4 linked regions of the Schizosaccharomyces pombe genome follow. The gene in region 3 interacts genetically with the main gene of each other region. Each region holds a gene or a part of one and is shown on either strand. Other genes may lie near its edges. The genes, in order: gpa2, sty1, cyr1 and git1.

Region 1 (5,388 bases), on a different chromosome or scaffold from region 3:
ATGATTGATTTATTCAATTATTTTCTTATAATAATTTTTTGAATTAAATTAACATAGTTTTATTTTAAACTGGGAAGCGCATCTTGCTCATAATTCAAATTATTGCCCTAAAACCAACATGAAACAGATCCGGCAAACTAGTTTCCACAATATATCGGGATATATCAAGATATGCAAGATATATAAGATACACATATATAAGAGATATAAGATACATATTCAATAATTGTCAAGGATACCTATAATCAAGCAAAAATTAAACTTACGCAAATAAGAATTTCATCTTTATAAAAAAAAAAAAACCATCAAAAAACAAAACAATATAAAAACCCTCCCACTACATGTGAATATCTTGGAAGACTTTTTTTTATAACTAGTACATGCTTTTATTAGTATGTAATGAATAAATGAACGAACAACAACGGATTGACTTCAGTACCACATAAACATTACGAAACCTAGCTAATTCTATCTCACCTGAAGATTATTTTATTTTAGCGGGGCAAATGCAGTCCTTCCCGAACCTCCAAGACTAAGTAACCAGCAAGTAACGGCATCAGGATATCTTACCATTCTTACCCATTAAATTTAAGGAACCGAATGAAATTAGGAACGATGAGCAGTTTAACAAAGTCCTCCTTATTTTTTTTGCGTTGAAATGTAGTTTGTAGTGTCAAGCTGCTTTGTGCTATTTATCGAGCAATGAGAAATAGGAGAGGAGTTATGGTAGCAGGGTATACTTAGTAATGTTTTCATGGACCAAGCGGGGGAGGGGCGAAAAGCATGTCTAGTTCGCTGTATTCAGTTTCAAGACCCCATTTCATGTTTAACATTTGTTCTAGATACGCAAAAATCCCTTTTTTCTAGATTGTTTGCAAGTCCCCATGTCTTCTTTTTTTTATACAGCTGAAAAATTTTCCGACTGTCAGGTAAAACTGGTCAGTTGCGAAAACATGCTTTGCTTCATCTTGGTACCCAATCGTCTATGGATTTTTTATATGTTTCTTTCTAGCTTTGTGATAGCTGCCCACGCTTTGCGATCAAGTTAGTTGCCTTATCCCTTGTGCACTTTACTTTCATATCTGAGTAAATAAGTCTCCGTAACTGGAATTGAACTTGGTAAAATTGGGGCTTGAAAATTTAAAATATTATGAAAGTGAACAAACTCAGATTGGGAAAACACTCATTAAACATTGCTTGGAAAGATTGCGCGTTTTTTGGAACACTTCCTTTGGTCATCTTTGCTATCCCGATTGCTTGCATCTTCAGCCATAAACAAGGGACGACTCATTGAGTTACTAGAGTAGTAATAGAGCAGTATAGTTTAGTAGTATAGAAATGCTGGACCAACCAGTTAATGACATATAAACATAAAACATAAAAAACTATTTTGATGAGCGGCGCTTCTCTATGCGATACTTACATAGAATGCAAAGCTCACACAGGTCTCAGCTTACTGCCTGCTCCCCTCGCCCAAGGTCATAATCGAAGAGTAAGACTTACACTCCAATCTTCTTTACTTGAATGATGCTTGTTTGGTGGTATGTGTTGGATCCTTTTCCAATGTTACATTTTCCGAACTGTCCTCTCTACCCCACTCGAAAAATTAAAATCGTAAATGGATGATGCATGACGTAGTGCCTCATAAATACAAATTATACCAGAGTTGCCGTCTGTCTTTTTCGAAATAGTATAGACGAAATCACCGCTCAGGTACCAATCTAACCATAGTTGTTAGCTACTTAAGCTGTTTGAAGCATCAAAACGCTTGCCCTTTTGCTGCTGCTTGTTGGATTTAGGGTAGTGTGAATTGAAAGTAAGGATTTAATTGTACACTCGGTTAGTTGGACAGTAGTAAGAATTGAGATATTTTGCCTCTAATTCTTCTTTCTTCCTTGTACAATTCTTAATTTTTTTCTCGTTCATCGAAAGACGACGAGAAATCAATTTTCACGAGTTTCTCATTTGTCGCTGCATCTCTTCAACTGATTTCAGCCTTTTCTTCTTGCCTTAATCAACCTTGGTATTCACTCGTACTCACTGTGTCAATTAGCTAGCCGGCTAGCTTCCGACCTGCGATCCTTCCTCATTCTCCTCCACCCCCTGCTTTTCGAGGCATCTGGTGAAACTCAAAAAAAAGTTGAAATTGCGATTTAAAGGTCGCCCATAAAGGGGGTTAATCAAACTTTGCGCGTATAGTTTAGTGACTGACTAATCAATATTTTGATTATTGATTCCTATTCTGTAATATCCCCTTTTGACACCCGCACCCTTGTTCCTACTTAATCATACTTGCTACCTCAACTTTTTTTTTAATACTTTTATTTATTTGCGTTTCACTTTTCTTTCTAACTTGCTCTCTTTCCATTTTATTATTTAATCTTTGCTTTAATTGGGAAAAGAACTGGATTGAAGGCTTTTCTTGGAAAGTCCTCGCCTCTCTGCTGCTACACCTTACCTACCTGCGTTTAACCTTCTTACTTTGTTTCATATTTATTTCTCCCATCTTATCCCAAAAACCCGCTAGCTGTCGGATTGAGAAGTTTGGTGTCCTACTACATCCCCGTATTTATATTCTGCAGTAGTGGATTAAAAAAAAATGACGATTTTTAATGGATTATCTGAAAGCGGTGAATCAAAAAAATTGAACAGCAAAATCGAAAAGCAGATTGAAAATGCCTCGAAGAAGGATAAAAAGATTTACAAAGTGTTGCTTTTAGGTACGTAAACTACTCAATGTTGTTGTTGTTGTTCAATAGTTATATATGCTTGGGCAGTCGAGCAAAAAAGCAGAAAAGATTGAGAAAAAAAATAAAGAAACGAAATGAGTGAAACTATTTACGAAACAGAGAAACTGTTTAAGAAATGACAGAAAATGGTTTGTCTAATTGCGTCTACGTTCTCTACTCTTGGTTACCCTTTCCCTTCAATACTCAGTCAGTGAAGGTGACTTTGATAACGTTCTTCTAGTTAACCACTTTTCGTCGTCGTTGCATGTTGTAATCAGTTGCTCTACACTCTTACCGTTTCTCTCCATTGCATAGCACAGATTTTTTGTTTGATTCCTATAGCAAATTTTCCTTCCTTTGTTTCTTACAATCGTCAGTCTAACCATTGTTTTCTAGGTGCCTCCGATAGTGGAAAAAGTACCATCAGTAAGCAAATCAAAATTCTCAACAAAAATGGGTTTAGTCAAGAAGAGATTATGACATTTATTCCGGTGATCCGACGAAACCTGTTGGAATCTGCTAAAACCCTTGTTAAAATTATCGTTCAAAAAGGTATCAACTTGGACCCTTTAGGAACCCACAATTGCGAGATAATCGAAAAATTTAATCCAACTCCTGGTGAGCTTATTAATGCTAATATTGGCCAAGCTATTACTAGTCTTTGGTCAGCCAATAGTGTTAGATCCTGTACATATGGAAATGATTCCGTACTCATTGACTCTGCCCCTTACTTTTTTTCGCGAGCCGATGAAATTTGCAGTCGGCATTATGTCCCTACAATAGATGACATTCTCCGGTCTAGAAATAGTACTCTGGGTATTTCGGAAATATCGTTCACATTGGATCATTTGCAAATTCGAATGTTCGACGTTGGTGGTCAAAGAACCGAACGAAGGAAATGGATTTATTGTTTTGAAAATGTGAATTCAATCATATTTTGTGTTTCCTTAAATGATTATGATAAAAAGCTTTATGAAAGAGCCGCCCCAGAACGCAATCGTTTGGTTGAAAGTATTTCTTTATTCGACTCTATTATAAACAGTCAGTGGTTTATGCATTCTTCTATCATTCTGTTTTTGAACAAATTTGATTTGTTTCGGAAGAAACTGGAACATGTTCCGTTCCAGGATTACTTCCCCCAATATGAAGGTAAAAATTCTGTTAAAAGTATTACCCGGTATATTCTTTGGTTATTTGTGAACCCTTCTATAAATCGGGCTAAGCATAATATATATCCTCACATTACCACCGCTGTAGACACATCTAACATAAAGGTTGTCTTTTCTGCCGTTAAGGAAACAATTCTACAACACAGTCTGAAAGAAGCGGGAATGTTTTAATTTTAATTTGAAGATAAAATTTACCCTACCATTATTCATATGTTAACAGAAGACCTCTTACTGTCTGCATATGTCTAGAGAGTTCTGAAGCCTCCTTGTAAGAATCGCTTCTTTTACATTCGTTTATTTTTTTTTTTTAATATTGTCCGGAGTTTATTACACATGTTCTTTAAAAATATTTTTCCAATATATACATTGGCTGCTGGAATCTGAAATCACCGATTTGTCTGTAAGGAAAAGGATCGATCTCCTTTTCAGTTGTCTCAGAACGTTCACAGATTGCTATTAAATAATCTCTTTAAGATGACCAAGTTATACAGTTCTAGTTGATATAAATATTTTGTCATTTTTGCGAATATCAATTTGCATTTAATTTTTTACTTTAAACGATGCTGCTGGCGAATGCTTTTAAAGTTATTGAATACTTTCTGTTGAACATAGTCTTAAGATTGAGAAAGTAGATCTCCAGTTTTGATTCGAACATCTATCTCTGCTTTCAGAACTATTGCTATCACTTAATGCTGCTATTTATGAGGGTCGTAGAAAATCCGTTTGAGTACTAAGAGACTTTGAGTGGATACATGATTTAATCGCTTTTGTTTTAGTATTTAGTTTTTAATTGTTAGACTACTTGTATAGACTATTTCACTGAATCATCAAAATTGTTGTCTCTCTTTGTTGGCACCAGAGACTGATACTTTTTACCGACTTTCAGTATCTTTTCTTTAATATATTAATTTACTAATCAAAAAAGCTATTGAACACGTGTATTTCTGCCATGTATAATAAAAAGCCGCACTGTTCTGTATACGTATCAATTTGATTAAATTAGATAGTAATACTACTACATAGATATTCGTTACCCACTTTTAGCTTCTACTTTAGTATATCCACCCATCTTTGTGTTACTGCAGGTTTATTTATTTCAATATTTATTTTGTAAAAACAATTAAGTACATTCGTTAACTAATTATGAGAATTATTGCACTTCCTTTGCCAAATCAAAGGGTATTCTTACATTGTTATCCTTCTGAATACCTTGCCAAAAAAGTTACTATTCACGACAAAATTATAAACAGAATTTACAAGTATTGGGACTCCTGGAGTGCTTCAAAAAGCTATACCAAACAAAAGGTTGTGTCTTTGGGAAACCGAATTTTGCATGCAACTCCTTATGAAGAAAATTTTTTAAGGGCGATTGCTCCTGTTAAGAAGCTAAATGATACAGAATTACACCAAACTTTGTATATTGAACATCCTCCAAATTTGGAATCAAGTACTATTTTAGCTGAGTTGAATCGGTCCAAACAATTACAAAA
Region 2 (4,204 bases), on a different chromosome or scaffold from region 3:
ATTTTTAATCAACATCTTCTTCATTTTTTAATCCCCTTTTTCATAGAACGGGAGATTTGTTGTCACTGTCAATCTCCTTTTTGTATTTATGTTGCTTCAAGCACGTCTGTTTTGAGCCCAATTTCTCTTTTAACGTTTTAGCCTCTCCTTTCTCCATCACCTCTAACTAGTTTTAATTGGAAAAATTATTTGTTCTTCCTTTTAATTATTTTTACGATACTGTTTATTCATAGCTCTTTTTTTGATTATGAAGATACACTTCGCATTTGCTAAGTTTTTATGTTTTATGAAGTAATTCCTAGATGACTATGATTTTTTTTAACGTTTTTAAGATTTTTATTTAACTTCATGTACACAAGATGTCCAAAATCTTGTTGTATAAATAATAAAAGTTAAAAATTAATAAATACACTACTTATTATAAAACCCGTAACTACATTAACGAACTTAAAAACTAAATCATACAGATTAGCATTATAAACCTAGATGGGTAACTATTATAATGGCTTTTTTTTTTTTTTTTTTTTTTTTTTTTCTTTCAAAAAGAGAAGTTCGGTGATTTATTCAACTTCTGAATTTGTAGTCAAAACAAGAAGAGGAAGGTATATATGTTCATTACTTGGAAAGAGGAAGTTGGAAATAATTTTCATGGGCCATCGCATTACCATATCCGAAAAAAAAGGATAAAAATTTGAATTTCAAAATATTTTAGAAAAGGAGTGGCGAGAAAAAACACCACACTTGAAAATCGCAATTGTAATTTATAATTAAACGGAGGATTAAAAACCCGATGACCATTAGAATAATAGAAAAGCCTAAAATTCCATGGAACCGAGATGATATAAATATGATACACGTGAACAAAATAGAGTAATCATAACATACCCCGAGAACAACTTTTAAGGCTTTATCTACAACTTGTTTAGGATTGCAGTTCATTATCCATGTTGTGAAACGACAAAACCTCGGAGTACATCATGACCTTCCAAGTCTCCACAGGTAAATCATTATCTTGGAATGACCAGTCAAAAACTTCATCAGCAACAGGCTCATCAGTAGGATCATGGTATGGAGCAAGATAGTTATGAGCCAAAGCATCAGCAGCACTAATACGCTTACGAGGATCAAAGACAAGCATTTTTTCTAACAGATCAATAGCATCTGGATCGGCGTTTTTGAACTTTTCAGCAAAAGGAACTTTCTCCTTTTGAGGCAATGATTGAACAAAGCGAAGTGTGTTTTTACTGCAAATCGTCTCAATTACTTCCATAGGCGGCGTTCCCAACAATTCCGTGATTATAGAAAACTGGTTAACGTGGTCTCGGCCGGGAAACAAGGGTTTTCCTTCAATCATCTCAGCAAAAATACAACCCGCACTCCAAATATCAACTTCGACGTTGTACTTTTGCCAAGTTAACATAATCTCAGGTGCACGGTAATAACGAGTAGAAACATAGCCCGTCATTTGAGGGTCTTGAATACGAGCCAAACCGAAATCGCAGATTTTTAAATCGCAATTTTCGTTAATTAAGATGTTACTGGGTTTCAGATCACGGTGAATAACACCGGCAGAATGAACAAACTTGAGCCCTCGCAAGATTTGGTATAAGAAGTATTGTATAAATTGCGTCTCTAAAGGTCGCGATGTAAGTAGTCTATGAAGATCTGTTCCCAGAAGCTCCGTGACAAAATAAATATCTTCAAAGGGAGAAATAAAAATATCGCTCAAGCTAATAATATTCTCATGCCTTAAATGCTTTAATAGTTTTAATTCCCGATAGGTACGTTTTGCCAGTACCGGAGTACTAAAGGGTTTCATAATTTTCTTAACAGCGACATTCATTCCAGTTAGCTGATCCTTCGCTGAACAAACGAGGCCAAAGGCGCCCATGCCAATCGGCTGTAAGTCGCTATATCTAGTGGTAATTTCAAAACATGTACCGAATATTTGTGTACGAATAAATTCTGCCATTTTATTCAAACTGGTTACAAAAAGGACTATTCAACAATAATCTCAAAAATTTAAGCGTCCTTCGTCTATATCGAAAAGTAACTTTCTCTTCTTTTTACAAGTTCCCAACAACGCTGCGAAGTGCCAAGCTTTATAATAATTACGATAACAATCGTCGGTATCGGACCTCGTATTCCGTTAAACAGATTGTGGTGTTTGCTTGTAATAAGCAATGAAGTGCTCTGGTTAAGTTGTGGTAAGGAGGTATGTAGCTGTGATTAAGTGCACACCGCACTACAGTGAACTTGCGCTTCAGCATCCAGAACCTCAAAGAATGAAGTTCCGCCGGTTTAACGATGTTTTTAAAATGTATTAAACAATTTAAAGTACTACTACTTTTGATAACAACTGACGACGATAAACACCAAAGTGACCACTCCTTCTACTCTTACCAAGGCTTTGTTGTCCAGATCTGAGATGGGTTAGTTGGTAAAGTTGTTAAGCCAGCTTTATTAGATCAACTTTTTTAGCTATTTGAGCTAGTATTCATTATTGAAATGTGTGTTTCAAGGAAAAAGTCTTGTAAGCTAACCCAATTTGTCTTTTGACAACAGTTACTGTTGAAAAACCCGTTCAATTATAGATCTGACATTTCATTTGATCCATAATGCTCGATTTCGTAGTTAATTTGCTTGTTTGCCTCTATTAGCCCAGCGTCCGCGTTTTGATTTCTTAGCGAGTTGTTAATATTATGGTTTCACGATTAGGCATTAATCGGGTCTGTACCTTCCACATTTTGGGACGAAATAACCAAGGATAATTAGGTGCAACAAGTCATTTTCCATTTCAATTTTCCTTTTACTTTATTAAAAAATTTTTAATTAAAAAAGTTTGGACAAATACCATTTAAAGTCTACGAGGAAATAGGACACAATACTACGTTAAATGTATGTTTCAATAAAAAATCAATTCAATAAAAGGACAAAAATTAAAAGAAGGGAAAATCGAAAAAAAAAAGAATGTGATGCCGAAATTACCATACGGCTCAGTGAGCAGATAGACTAAAGATACGTATTATATGGAATTCTTCGCCAAAGATACATGCAAAATGTAATAAAAGTTATATATATACATATATGATAGACTTATACCAAATTGCTTCCATGGCGGAGATAACCAAACGGGGTAAAAACAGAGTACTTTTAAAATATAGACCAGATTAAAAAGAATGAAATTATGCCTTCATAAATTTGATGCAAATGAACCCAATACGATGAGTGCTAACGCGTTATTCTTAGCGCAAATTGTTCGGAAGAAAATAAAAAAACATAACGTGATCCCCAAAAGAATGCTTAATAATGAGTCAGTAGAATTCAAATCAATAAAAGTTTAACACGACAATGCTTTTATAATGATAAAGGAATGAGGAAAACTGTGGCTCCGAAAGAGAGGTCTACGATTTCATGCGAGAAGTTCCACGAGCTAGCGGAAAGCGACGCATCGCATTAGGTATAACCGTCATTGACGATGTCTCAGAAGCCACAGAAGCTCGAGGTTCTACTCCCTTATTGTTGTTCATGAGAGTAAAATACGTTTCGGATTCACCACTGTCATCAGTTTCACCGTTTCGCGATTCCGCAGAATTAGAGTTGGAATTTGGTCTTGACAATACTTCATTTCCAAGTGATTGAGAAGACGAATTAGGATCACTTGGCGTACCAAATCTTGATGACTCAGGTGATATATTCTTGTGCGTATGCTCTTTAGCTTCAGGGGATAACACGTTTTTTCCACCACGAACAGGAGGTGAACCTCGAGGAGCAAAACGCGGATCAAAAGTTCGACCCAAGCCCTCATAATCACTCTTTAAAGACTGTTGCATTTGCATCAAAGAAGGAGAATACAAAGAACGTCTAGAGCGACGAGTTGTAAGAGACAACATATCCATATTGTCAGCAGTCATTGCTCGTCCTTTTGAAAGGGACGGAGCAGAAGGAATTCTGCCCATATTTGGCTTACCATTTTCGGGAACAGAATATGGGTGTAAAGGTGAATGTCGATCAGAAACGAAGGATGATGGATTAATAGGCCGCATATTAACCAAAACTTTGTTTTTCTTAGGTGAATTGTCCGTGGGCCCATGCATATCATTCATGTGATGTGGTTGAACGAGAGGAAGGTGTTGAATACTCGAAATTAATGCACTTATTGTTCGTAAACGAGGAACTTGGAGGGATTGTTTAGTAGCTAAAT
Region 3 (7,858 bases):
GACTCAACGTCTCTCTCGACATCTTTCCAAGACATCTTCTCGTCATTCTAGGCTTTAGACTACTATTGTTGAAGCTCCGTCTTTTTCCTTATTTTTTTTCTATCTTTCATTTCTCAAGTTTTTTTATACCGGGCTGTCAAGTGTTTTGATTCCAATTTTGTTTATTTAGTATTTTTATTGCTTCATTCTTTCCAAATTTTTTTGCTGTATTTTTAGTTTAGTTACGATCTTACTCTTACGATTTCTTTTTCATTTTTCTTCTATTTTGCATTTTTTTTTATCTTTATTTGGGGTTTACATTGTTATCAAGTGTTATACCGAGTTTCCCCCATTGTGTTTTTTTACTCCTATACCATTTTGCATGAAAATTATTTTATTTCGTATTTCTTTAATACAATTTTTCTTTTTTTTTACTTTTGTATCAGTCTACTGTCGTTCCGTTGTTCAGTTTCTTATTGTTTACTAATAGTAAATAAAAGTTGATTTGCCTCGAAACACGTACGTTAATTTGGTATTCCATAATTCCAACTTTAGGGTATAGCAAAAAAAAAAAAAATTTTATTAAAAATATGCAAATTATATATACAAAAAATAAATATATATATATAAACTATTTATGGGGTTAAACATTATTTAAATATAGCAGTCATTATATGCATTCATTTAGCCAGTGTGTCCAAGCATTTGACTGACACAATAAATAGTATTCTCGATACGCAAAGTCAGACGGTAGAACAATGAATACTCCTCGGCCTGGTTTACGGGAGCTGCCAGACCGGTATCGCAAGGCGGTGGTTCAGGAAACCCATGCAGTATAGCGGCATGGTCTTCAAGACGCTCACAAAGTTCATAAAGTAATTGATACTGTTGGTCATCAAAAATACAACCTTCATATCCACCAGTACTCTCTGATGGTGATACGTTGCGCAAGGATGAAACCGATCTCTTCCCAGAACCACCCTCCTCTCCATGGACAGATTTTGAATCACTCAATCTTGCTAACATGGGTCGCAAGCTGTTGCTTCTACTACGAACGGGAGTATAAGTCTGAGTTTCCGGGAGGGCTGTGGGTGTTCCCAAACTTCGGCTCTTTATCAATCTCTCCAGTCTTCCTTGCAATTGCACAGGATAAACCAATGAAATCATTTCAGTAGTATCCAAACCTTTTAACTTAAATTCTCCAAGGTTATGGATAATATAACCGATTTGTTTAAGAGCACGAACTTCCATTTCGTTGACATTCGTCTTCTCTGATGACATTGTTTCTGAATCAAGCTGATTCAATACAGATACCACCTCAGCAGAAACAGCAATTTGACCACCATCAGCGACTGATACAACCCTAGATGTTCTGTTTACTACAGGCCCGTAATAGTCCATACGTCTAGTGATGGGATCTAGTTCACTCACGGTTACACCATAATTGACACCAATTCGAACACTAAGCCCTCGATATAACACCTCATTTTTTGAGCCGAGTACCAACCGTCCTTGCACTGACTCAACTATTTCGTTGGGCCAATCTGCCGAAAGTAACTGTAATTGTACTGAAAAACACCAAAGTAATGCAGCAGGAACTGTTTGAAAACAAACCATAAACGCATCTCCTTCGGTTTTTACTTCATAGCCTCCAGTTGCACGGAGTTGCCGACGCATAATAGTATTATGAGTTTTGATCGCAGATCTCATTGCAATAGGATGTCTTTCCCACAATAATGTGGAATTCTTAATATCAGTAAAAACCATGGCAATACAACCTTTCGGGGGAGAGACTTCTCTATTCATTCGTGCTAAAGAAGAATCATCGGGTAAATCTTGGACAAATGACATATTATCGTTCTTTTCAGAAATTGCTAAAGTTTTTTCATCCCCCCGTAGTTGGTTGAAATTAAGGGAATTCTCTTCAAACAATCCGTTCAATTCGACGATAACTACAAGAACATTTTTTTCTGCACCATATGCAATAGCATAGTCACGTAGCTTCGTAGAGGCTAATAGAGGAGAATGTCTGTTGGCACGAACAACGTCAATTACTGTGCGTTTTGATAATACGCTCCAAAATTCCTGATTTGCTAGAATGATAAATTCGTTTAGTTCAGATAAGTACTGCACATTAACATAGGGAACTGCTTGGACGCCAGGAAATTGAGACAAACGACCAATAGCACGTGTAGTGGTCGATTTTATTTCACCAGATATGAAACCACATGAATCAACTATGCGACGAATTTCATCCCTATTGTACACATCATGCATGACACTTAAAGTTGTAGGTTCCGAATCATTTCTCGTAGACATTATAGCCATTGATGTGCCCACATTGGCAACGAAAGCTCTTGTATCCCTGACGTACACTAAGATAATGCTAACTCCTATATCCAAGCAAGAACTGTCCATAGAATAACCCTTTTCTGAAATATTCATAGTGGTAACGTAATTACTATCCACGTCTCCTTCTGAAGACTTCCTAAGGTCATAATGAATGACATTTCCTAATTTTTTGTTTAAACGAAGAAATCCTCTTCTCAAAGCGTTACAAATTTGTTCAGAAGAGGAATCTGCTGCATTAATCTCATGCGCTAGGCATGAAGCCAAATTGTCGTACACAAATTTTAAAACCCGGTTGTTTTTTCCAGCGCTGATGTCACTGTCAAGCACACAGTATAAAGATGATTGAGGATGCAAAAAGTTGTTAACAACTAATTCACATGCAGAGATGACGGGAATAGAACGAGAAAGGTATCCACATACTCCATACCTCAAAATGTTAGGTTGAGGAGAGTTGCGTTGAATAAAATGGTTTAGAACATCAGAAGGCGCATTAGAAAATTTTGTATTCAAATCCATGATGCTCAAAAACTTTAAATTCTTCAAATATGATTTTGTAAAGTTTGTATCTTCATGCTCAGAGAATCGAAACCATGTGTTACCAGATAGATTAAGGTATTCCAATTGAGGAAGTTTAGTTAAACTCTTCTTTTCAGCTTTTTCTACTGCTAAATTCTGCAGATTATTGGTACTTATGTCCAAAAATCTTAAACTTTTAGACAAAGCTTCATTTTTAGGAAAAGAGGAAAGACGATTTCCATTCGCGTACAAAGTTTCAAGTAGGACCTGCGCTGTACTGGAAATGGAAAGATTTGCAAGCTCATTTCCTGACACAAAAAGGTGTTTAAGATCAGAAAAATTTTGGAAAAACTTGCTTGGAATTTCCGTTAAATAATTGTAAGATAAATTTAAGACTTTTAAACACTTAAAGTATTCTAAAGCCGTAAAACAGTCATTGCCCAATCTGTTGTCCACCAAGTATAATTCTTCAACGGTAGGCATAACAAATTCTTGGGAGGAGAGGCTCGATACCGGATTTCCTGATAAAGTACGCATGATTTTTAATTGGCTAATTGTCCTAGTTAATTTTTTTGACGTTGCAACTGGTAACTTGATTTTCTCCAGGATATTGGAAGACAGGTTAACAACTTTTAGTGAAGAGACTTGCCATACTTCCTCAGGGAATATTTTGATATTATTTGCATGTAAATCCAGGTGAACTAAATGCTTTAATTTGCCAAGGTTTGGTGAAACATAAGACATTTCACAGTTCGTGCAAGACAAATATTTCAAATTTTGCATAGCAGAAATTGCATCGGAAATGCTAGTAAAGTGGTTGTAATTCACTTTCACTGTTTCTACATTTACTAAAGTTTCAATGACAGAATCCTTGAGCCCAATAAGCTTCGCATGTGAGATATCAAAGTAGACGAGATTGCTATAGCTAAATGCCGGATCAATTGTAGTCAGTGGACAAAACGAGAAGTCGATGAATGTAGCTGACGGATTGGAATATTCGTAAAAAGAAAGTAAATTGCAAGCTACATTGATGCTATTTAGTTTCGGACATTCAGATAAACTGGCGATGTTAGTAATCGCATTATAACTAAGGTCAATTGTTTCCAGATTTTTTAGCAAGCCTATTTCCTGTGGAAGCCGATTAGATAAATCATTAAATTGTAGATATAGATGCTTCAATTTAACAAGAGAGCCAATTTTGCTAGATATCTGTGACAATAAATTATGCGAAAAGTTAAGAGTCTCCAATTGGGACAACTCAGTAATTATTAAAGGGAAAGTCACAAAATTATTGTAGGATAAATCAAGATAGGTTAGATTCACCAAATATCTAGTAGAATGGGGAAGGAAGAACAGCTTATTATTAGCTATATTCAATTCTTTCAGAGAATTTCGACTAAGCCCAGAGAATATAAGAGGATCCAATTCATATATATCGTTACGAGACATGTTCAAAACTTCCAATTGGCGAAGAGCAGTAATCGGTTTTCCTCTTGGAGACCTTAAATTATTGGAAATGTCTAACCGCTTAAGCTTGACACAGCGCTCCATGAAATCTAAAGGCAGGTCCAGCGATAAATTGTGCGAAACATTCAACGAGATAAGTTCATGGGCATAGGGATAGATCTTTACCGGAATAACCTCCAGGTTTGACCTACTAATGTCAAGGTTCGCAGTAATTTTTTTTTCAGAGAATTTACGCAATACATCCGCTCCAATATCCATCGTAGTAAACACCAATCTAGCAACACTATAATTATCTTCTTCATTTATTTCTTCATCGGAAGTTACCTTACACCCAAACAAACTCAATAATCGTTCAAATATAATGCATGGCTGTTCATGAGGCAACAAAATACGTTCTGTATTGAATTGGATTAATAAGAGGTAAAAATTAGCAGACGAGGGAAGAAAAAATAACCTTGCTAACAGCTTAATCACTTCATGAGTTTGTATGCCAATAGGGCAAATGAATGATACGGAAGTTCGATCATCACGGTATACTCGAAGAAAGAACTCTTTCTTTCTATTGCCCAGGGAAGGACGAGCAAAAAATCTAGTAGTAAAAACCTGCTTTGGAATAGCCTCAGTGGGCAAACTAGTTCCCCAACTCTCCGGAGCTTTCCAAGAATCATCGGATAAAATGGAAGGGTACGGTAAAAACTTCTTCCAAGGGCTATCATAACTATCTCTATGATAATCGAGGTCCAGGATATGAGCCGCAGAAGCAGGGATTCCATCATCATCACTATTCCTGGGTAATTCGTGTATGCTACCTTCCAAACTAGCTGGCCAATTGTTATTAAGAGAATCACGTTGAAACTCCACACTGTCACTGTCATCAGAAATCGGTTCTGGAAAAGTTAGATTGGTAAATGACTGATTCAGGTTTTTGTCGAAAGATTCTCTGTCCTTATCAATAAGTCTTCGAAGGCCTGCTTCTTTAGAAATTGCACAATTAGACGAGTTATTTTCTTTGTATGGCTTTATCCCAGCACTACGGGTATCACGTGGCACTTCAGACTTTTCAGAGCTTTCTCTTGCAGCTAAGGCGGTATCCGATTTAGTACGTCCCGTGTCAGATAAGCTAAAGTTCTCATCCGGTTCATAAAAATGGAAAAGCACGCTTTTGCTAGGTACTGCAGGAGTGCTAGGATAGGTCTTAAAAGCTTCGACAGGTCGTCCAGAATTACCGACAGGTTGAGTGCAAGGTGAAAGAGCTTCATGGGAGTCATTACAGAGATTTGCTTCGGTTATTTCTGGTATATCATAGTTCACAGACGTCGCTGAGTCATCGTCCTTCTCGTCAAGGTCATCAAGCCAGGATATACCTGTTTTAAAATGTTCAGGCGGGTTTGGAACAGCTGACTTTAACAATCGCTTGCTTTGATCCATTAGTGGCAATTTGCATCCTTCCTAAGAATCTGTAGCACCTTCGTTTCAAAAATACCACTATACGCGAATTTTGGACAAGGAAAATTCAATAATGGTTATATCCCTATCCAAGGAAGGAATATTGAATTTATAGAACTAGTATTTGCTCTATTATCCTAGTTCCAACACCAGCGTTTCTTTGTCTGATTATATCACTTGTTAGGTTTAGAACAAGAAAGGGTTTGGGTTCCAACACCTCATGTATCTTCCTAACTCTAAACTATATTCCAGAGTGGTAATTTCCAACACTATGTGTTCTCAGTGAATTAGTGAGGAAGAAACTGTAAGGCGCGTTCGAATACTGCGTACGTCACTATTTCATCGATTTGTAAACAAATCTACTGAATATACTAGATGAAGGCGGTCTTGAATTAATTACTATGATTTTTTTATTTTTTTTTTTGAAGGCTTTCCATTACTCCTTCCATTAATTAACATTGGATTTGACTGATGAGTTAAAAAAGCTTCTTTTATCAAAGTTTCAAACTGAGTTTTAAAGTATTCATGAAACTTTCATCTAATTTTATCCTTAAATGATACTCGCCCCTTAAATATAAGGGCAATACGATTGACTGTTTGAATGAGACGAAATGTTTGTAAAGTAACCTATATTTACAGGTCAATGAATATGAATTAAATGATAAAATGTCAAGTTTTGGTATATATATCCTAATAAATAATCAAGGTGTTTGAAGCATTAAAAAAATTAGTAGCTTAGATCACGTAAACTCCCATTGTTTAGCCTAAAGTGTTTCCCAACCTCCGGTGTCTGGATTCGCATCCAGTTGTCGAGCAATATAAGAAGGAATAGATCCGTTTAGCCACATCGTTCGTACTGTTTCATCATAACGTTTTTGTGATAGATATTGAGAGCGGCCACGACGCAATCCCAAATCTGTCTCTCCATACGCATCCAAAAATGGAGCTACAGAGAAGCTTCCTACAGGTGGATTGAGGTAGAGAATAGCGCATTTTTTGACAATAAGAAAAATTCCAATGTCAGAAGCGCATTGTTGCATATGAAGATTACATTCTCCAATACCATTAAAGGAACAACAATGACTTTGGAAGCATAAGAGCTTCCCACAAAATAAACATATCGCTGGTTCCATAGGTTCAGTTAAACATTTCGAGCATCGCCTGGCCAATAGTAACTCAAAGACTTTATCCAATTCATACGGTAAAGAAACTAGTTCATAAATTCCAGGGTAATAAGCGCGAGGAAAATCGCATAGAGGACCAGTCTCTGTAAAGAAATTACACCAGTGCTTTATAAGGCTCCATTCTGTGGAAGATGCCGTAAGACAAAGATGATTAGATAATTCAATAACACCTGGAATATGCATTTTTGTTTGTAAACGTGATAATTCTGAATTTTGAAAGTTTAAATTCGGTTGCGTCTCAAATGAAACTCCATAGCGGCAATACCAAAGCAAAGCACATTTTCGAAGGAAGATTAGAGAAAACCTTTCCAATAGTTTATACAGTGTAAACAAAAGATGAGGATTATTTAGATCATCCTCCGTACAACAATCAAAATTGATTAATCCTGCTCCGTCGACACGAAGACTTTTCCAAATTTGGATAACTAAGTGCTCAAACCCCTTTAGCTGCTCATAGTCAAAGGCTTCAAATTCAACTGATTCCATACATTTCAGTAAAGAGTTTCTTTGTGACAAAAGAATCCATAAGTTTCGAACTATATCGGCAGTATAGTATAATTGCGTCAAGTAGTGAAACGATTCGTCACATGATAATAAACCAGAGACACTGGCTTCGGCGAATTCTCGAAATGTATCCTTCACAAGTAACGGCTCAACTCTATCATCAGTAATAGATTTGGTAACCGGTGAATCTAGAGAGGGCAATAGTCGCCCAAATATCCTTTTTTGTTGGCAGAAACTAATAAATTCAAACTCTTGAATTGAACCCCCAATACGCTTCTGTGAATCATGTGCACATAACAAAGTATAAGTTTTGATAGATTCAGATAAAATCCTTAAAAAAACTTGCTGATTTTTTCCAAGATTATGCACCCAAATATCCGCTGGAATACTTGAACATTTTATGTGTCCTC
Region 4 (6,192 bases), 1.0 Mb from region 3:
AATGCTGGCTATTGTTTTGTCGAATTCGCATCTCCTCATGAAGCTTCAAGCGCGATGAGTATGAACAACAAACCAATTCCTGGTACAAATCATTTGTTTAAACTTAATTGGGCCTCTGGAGGCGGATTACGTGAAAAGTCTATTTCAAAGGCCTCAGAATATTCCATATTTGTGGGAGACTTGTCACCCAATGTCAATGAGTTTGATGTGTATTCTCTCTTCGCATCTCGATATAACTCATGCAAGTCGGCCAAAATCATGACTGATCCTCAAACAAATGTGTCAAGAGGATATGGTTTTGTCCGTTTTACGGACGAAAATGATCAGAAATCTGCATTGGCAGAAATGCAGGGTCAAATTTGTGGTGATCGTCCTATTCGGGTGGGATTAGCCACTCCTAAAAGTAAGGCTCATGTTTTTAGTCCTGTGAACGTTGTACCTGTTAGTATGCCACCAGTTGGATTTTATAGTGCTGCACAGCCTGTTCCTCAGTTTGCTGACACAGCAAACTCAACCGTATTTGTTGGCGGTCTCTCAAAATTTGTTTCTGAAGAGGAGCTTAAGTATCTTTTTCAAAATTTTGGAGAAATTGTTTATGTCAAAATTCCACCTGGAAAAGGTTGTGGATTTGTGCAATTTGTCAACCGACAGTCTGCTGAAATTGCTATCAATCAGTTGCAGGGTTATCCTTTGGGCAATTCTCGTATCCGATTATCTTGGGGAAGGAATCAGAATCCAATTGCGGCTCCTGCCTTGAATTATCAGTCTCAGGTTTCACAAACTACTATTCCTGCTACCTCATTATTTCCGGCAATGAGTTTACCACCCCAGGCTCAGTTTAGTCCATATCCGGCTGTTGCACCTTCCCCCTTAGCCCTGCAAACGAGGGGTGCACCGATTGGCATGGAAATTTCGATTGGATCTCCTGCCCTCGTACCTGATCAAATGCATATTCCTGAAAACGGCAACTCTGATACCATGCCTGTTCCTAACACACAAGGAAAGCATTTATCAGCTGAAGAGTAATGTAAAAGTACTTGCGATTGAATTTTTTATAATGGCATGTCTCATACTTTTTATCATCATTCTTGGTTTTTATAAAGTATGAATAATTTTCCATCTATTCTAATAAGTTTGATGTTCATAATGAATCACGGAGAATTATTGTTTCGAGAAACGTGAGAGTTCTTGTAAACTCTATCTGTTATTTTGGACGTTAAATCAAGAGAGTCCCTTAGCATAATTGATTAATAAGCATTTTACATGTGTTCATGAATTCGAATTATCGAAGAAAAGCTTGAACTAAATTTTTGTTGGACATAGCTTCATTACGTTTCCTTTCTAAGGATTGACGGTTTTTATATTCATCTCTCCCTGTTTATGATATGAAATGCTACGTTTTTTTAGCCGAAATTTTCATTTGTCATGATTTTTATAGTCAAGAAAAAGGTTTTCATACGACGTATATAAAAGATTAAATTTAATAGTAATGATGGACTTCAGAATTATCGCACTGAGATTTTTAGGTCGCTGGAGAATGCAGTTTAGGCAAGGTATGTAAGTGCTTATTGAGATTTCCCATTGATAAACAACTTTTAAGTTGCTTCTGGTTTAATCATTCGTTCTTTTAGGTATGAGTTTAGTTAAATGATCAGCGCCATTTTCAAAACATTTCATTCAACCAAAAATCAACCGCCTCTAAATTCAATTTTATTTGAATGATACTCCCTATTTATCGAAAAATCCATTCAATTAAAATCTATTATTAACTTTTCATCCATTTAAATCTACTCCATTTTTAAAGCTCTTGTTTACAGAGTAACAACGCGACTTGCAACTTCTACTACGCCAGGGGGGCGACTGTCGCAATAAACAACTGACAGAAAACGCACTTATAGTATAGGCTCAAAATCTTTTTAAATCGTAGCCTTTCCCATTAATACGAATACATCATCAAATTCAGTTTTGCGATTAAGTATAAACGGGCTTAACTCGTGCGTTTATATACTTTGTCAACGCTGTGATTAGTATTCAACCTTTGACGTTACACTTTATTAACCTGGCTCGATACTCTTAAATAAGACTCTGGAAAGCGACAATTCTTATAATTAATTTTATTTTTTATTTTTTAACCTGTGAAAAAGTTTTAATCTCTAGACCTGGAACGATCATTAACATAATTGTGTACACATTATTGAAATCCAGCTTATAAATGAATTTTGATCTACTAAATAATTTACTCACCGATCCAAAGAAGCAGACAACATAAACCATCACCTATCGCTATTTTTACCTTCATCCATTAAATAACACCTTCATACATTCCGAACACCAGGTTTTTGCACTCTCTACTCAGCAAATCGGAAAGGCTTAAAATGGGATTCACTAGTGTTGAACCCCCAGATTTTTTTGATTGGACTGCCAGAGCTATATTTTTATTATCGACATTACGCAGTCGCAGAAATGCTAAGCAAATTGAGCGTGAAAATGCGCTTTTGGATCAAATCAAGGAGCTTTTAAGTATTGCCATTATTCAGTGTCATGAAAGAAATATTCCTTCGATAGATCTTCCCCCGTCTTTTTTCAATTATGTTTGTGAACAGCTACCCAGGCACCCTTTTGCTAAGATAGCTTCGAGCTACATAGATACGCATACTTTATTTTTTCAAATATCTATCAGCTCATTTTTATGCCGATTTTCAAACTGCTCAGAAGACGAGATCAGGCTTTTTAAGCAGCACCAGTCCCTTGATAGTTTTTTACTATCCTTGTTTGACCTCCTTTGTAGTCACCACTTTTCCGTTGAATTTACGTCCATATCACTAATTATCAAATCTTCGCAGTGGTTATTTTATACATTATCCGATTATGCTCATGAATCCTTAACAGGCGTTGAGGCTGATATTACAACGAAATTTCTTTCCACCCTAGCTGATACTTGGCCAGAATTCGAAGAGCAGTGTACTCTTAGCAAACATCTTTTTCTTTTAGGTGACTTTTCGCTAATCAGCTATGTAAAAGTTTTATGTGGTGTATTTAATATCCCTAACTACAATGCCTTCATTCTAAGTGTCGAGGATCTACTTCCGGAAAATATATCCTTTGCCGCCGTTGCTGATTTTCAGTTATCAAAGTATAGGGCAATTAACGACAATTCTGTATTAAGAAGTGACGATTTCTCATCAAAAGCTGTGTTCGACAAATACGTTGAAAGGGAGTGTTATTACTCAGAAAATGCTATTAGTAAAATTTTTCAAAACTATCCTGATTTGGCTGTCCTTTTTGAAGAACTACAATATGCCGAGGGAAACAATGATCTTCTATCTGCGATTTTGAATACCAATAAATATACTTTGAGACCTGATGATTGTGCTCCATACTTTTATCGTTTAATGGATTTGTGCTTACGTTATTGTTATAGCCAAAGTAATGAAATTGGTACCAACGTTTTATGGAGCATGACTACAAGTTTCATCAACATTTGGCGTATTCATCCTGGAACATGTTGTTGCGTGGTCTTAAGTATATATTGGCCTTATCTTGAGGATAAACTCCTAAAGTTTTCGGACCTTGGAGATATTTTTGAATACTTCTTTTCTTTAATTCATGATTGTGATTATGCGATTTGGTCAGTCCATGACGAACACCAATTTTCGGAGTTATTGGCGTTTTATCATAGAAGAGCTTTAAATGACTTAGTAGAAGAATTGGGGAGCTGTCCTCGTTCTAGTGATTCTTGCCGAGCTATCCTTGATATCCTTAATAATTACATCTTTTCATGTCCGCTTTTTCTGGTAACCCCTGAAGAACTAGAAGAGCAATACACCGACTTTTTTAAAAAACTGAAAGAAAAATATGGGGAGTTTTTCCAGAATCTACTGAAGAAAGAACTGACTGGGAAGCCTGAATCAGATCTCGAAGGGCTTCGATTAGTGGGTGTCCAATTGCAAGCCACTTACGAAAACTTGAAGTCGAATTTTAGTGCTAGAATATTTAACCAGCTTTCGGTTCACTCATTTTTTGCAGAAGCAACATGTCACTTGTTTCTTGAGAAATTACCTACCATTACCAAAACTTATGTATACTCAAATTGCAAAGAAATTCCAGATCATATCCTTGAAATGATCAATGCTCTATACCAGCAAACTCGCGCTTTAGTGGCTTGCACCGGATACCTATCGTCGGACTACCCGAAAATTTATGAAGCTTTTAGCGGTACCTTTGTATATAGAAATTTGTCGCTGATAATCGACAAGGGCTTGGCTAATGTGTTGCAAACAGTCCTAAGAGAGTCTTTCATTCCTAAGAGATCCAGATTTTATTCAGATTCAACTAAAATGATTCTTGCTCCTTTGCAGGACTGTTATGATTTTCTGCAGAAAATAGATTGGCCAAGTTCCAAAGATGCAAATCGTTTTTATTTGCATCTTGGAAAACTTAGTGAAAACTACATTCATTACTACGTTGACAGCATGTATGCATTGTTTATTTATAGTACCGATATACCATTGAAAGCAGAACCTTTAGTTCCTGATCTTCCGGTGAAGCAGCTTAAAGAAAAAGCTAGTCATTTTAAAAGACATTCTGGGGACCCAAATTTTTTGAAGCTGTATAGGGAATCATTCACCCTAATCAATACCGTCAGTTTAGTGAGTGGTTGGTTAAAAATGCTGCATCAAAGGATTGATTATAAAATATTGACAGAGAAGGTAATGCACTTTAAAGATATGGAAGTACCATCTGCGACTGTTATAATTTCCATTAAGATGGCCCATCTTTTGGTAACCCCAAAGGCCCCATATTCATTCTCTGTTTTGCTCCAAGATCCTGAGTCGGAATTTTGTGTACATACTCGAGATGTTTATGACGAGCTAGTTCCCAATTGGAAAGAAACGTATCAGATGGAGATTACAAACGTAAAGCGTTTTAAATTAATTATATATCAGAGGAATATACACACTGGATTGGAGACTGTATATGGTCATGCAACACTAGAAGTTGATCCCGACAAACTTAAGCAAGGCCACGGAAAAGATGTTTGGCTTGATATCACTAATAAGGGACAAATTTTGATTGGGTTGCGTGTGCTCTTGAAGAGGGAAACACCAAATTATTACTGCTTTGCCCAAATGGAATACCTTACCGTTACTGAAGTAAAAATGCTAAATGTACTGATGATTTCTCTAAGTAAATTTATTCGAAATTCCTTAAGAAATAGTGGGTTAATGGATTTCGTGCGTTATCTTGATGGAGACGAAAATGATAACGCAGAGGCTGAGACTAAAGAAAAGATGGACGAGTTGCAGGCCCGGTGTGAAAAAGAGCAGCAGTCATTGTTGGCAGAGCTAGATGATTTTTTTTATTGGATTTATGTAAACTTGCTCCCGAAACCTCTTTTTTACTTGCTTTCGCGGCTTTGGTTTGGCTTGTTGGAGACATTTCGAGATATTTTAGTGCCTCCAGTCACAGATTCTACCCTAAGGAGAATTCCGTTGAATAAGCGTGAACTCAAAATGGTCTATTCGTGGTTACAATTGTTTTACGATTTTTTTCGGAATTTTCAAGATATTGCGCCATTTGATTTTTTGAATACCGATGAGTACAAAAGTGTGATGGCTATTAAAGACTATTATTTTGTAAAGTCTAAGGATGTCAAAAGAGTGAGTAGTTAGTTAACTACGGTAATGATGGAGACTTCTATTAATGTTTATTAATTTACTGAACGATACTTTTAATTTAATGAGCACAGTTGCTAATTTATTTTATATATATACAAATATGTATGTCATACGTCTATCATAAAGTCGCGTGTATTAGTTGCTAGGCTGAAATTATTTATTAAGCAGCTAGCTTATAACACTGCATTGTACACAAGAATAATGCTGAAAGCTAAAAATTAAGTTATGCTTACGATGATTACGCATTTTCTACAAAAATGAAACACACCATACAACCATAACAACAGGTTACAACAAAAGTCATAAATACATTTCTATGTAAACAAAAACAGATTTTTTTTAACGTAAAGCATACACATAACCGCACAGCCTTTAGAACGTCCAAACCATAAAAGCAAGTTATAATCATACATAAACATAACAAATGCCTTTAAGTCCCTTAGATAAGACACAAACATTAACCCTTGACTCAATGTCAGAGGCAATAGGAGATTAAAGTCGAATAATTACCAAA

What was found.
Region 1: of cyr1 (region 3) and gpa2, extra expression of one rescues a mutant of the other (dosage rescue), as found in Schizosaccharomyces pombe (2 studies listed by BioGRID).
Region 2: of cyr1 (region 3) and sty1, a mutation in one rescues a mutant of the other (synthetic rescue), as found in Schizosaccharomyces pombe (2 studies listed by BioGRID, with this or other methods).
Region 4: of cyr1 (region 3) and git1, extra expression of one rescues a mutant of the other (dosage rescue), as found in Schizosaccharomyces pombe (2 studies listed by BioGRID).

What each region holds. Positions count from the first base shown.
Region 1 is NC_003424.3:2,515,527-2,520,914, reverse strand, and holds gpa2 (heterotrimeric G protein alpha-2 subunit Gpa2), read left to right. Parts: upstream 1-1,675; 5' UTR 1,676-2,599; coding exon 2,600-2,720; intron 2,721-2,883; exon of another isoform or gene 2,884-3,125; coding exon 3,126-4,069; 3' UTR 4,070-4,862; downstream 4,863-5,388. Other genes in the region: SPOM_SPAC23H3.12C (hydrogen/potassium transport protein), read left to right, coding at 5,042-5,388. UniProt on the Schizosaccharomyces pombe protein: Alpha subunit of the heterotrimeric guanine nucleotide-binding protein (G protein) involved in glucose-induced cAMP signaling.
Region 2 is NC_003424.3:205,942-210,145, forward strand, and holds sty1 (MAP kinase Sty1), read right to left. Parts: upstream 2,196-4,204; 5' UTR 1,973-2,195; coding exon 923-1,972; 3' UTR 535-922; downstream 1-534. Other genes in the region: SPOM_SPAC24B11.07C (oxidoreductase), read right to left, coding at 3,405-4,204. UniProt on the Schizosaccharomyces pombe protein: Proline-directed serine/threonine-protein kinase involved in a signal transduction pathway that is activated by changes in the osmolarity of the extracellular environment. Controls osmotic regulation of transcription of target genes.
Region 3 is NC_003423.3:2,817,892-2,825,749, reverse strand, and holds cyr1 (adenylate cyclase), read right to left. Parts: upstream 5,949-7,858; 5' UTR 5,743-5,948; coding exon 664-5,742; 3' UTR 530-663; downstream 1-529. Other genes in the region: SPOM_SPBC19C7.04C (uncharacterized protein), read left to right, coding at 1-58; N-end-recognizing protein, UBR ubiquitin-protein ligase E3 Ubr1, read right to left, coding at 6,525-7,858. UniProt on the Schizosaccharomyces pombe protein: Acts in glucose-induced cAMP signaling by catalyzing the synthesis of the second messenger, cAMP to activate PKA signaling and repress sexual development and gluconeogenesis.
Region 4 is NC_003423.3:3,830,677-3,836,868, reverse strand, and holds git1 (C2 domain protein Git1), read left to right. Parts: upstream 1-1,878; 5' UTR 1,879-2,375; coding exon 2,376-5,672; 3' UTR 5,673-5,684; downstream 5,685-6,192. Other genes in the region: splicing factor Cxr1, read left to right, coding at 1-1,026.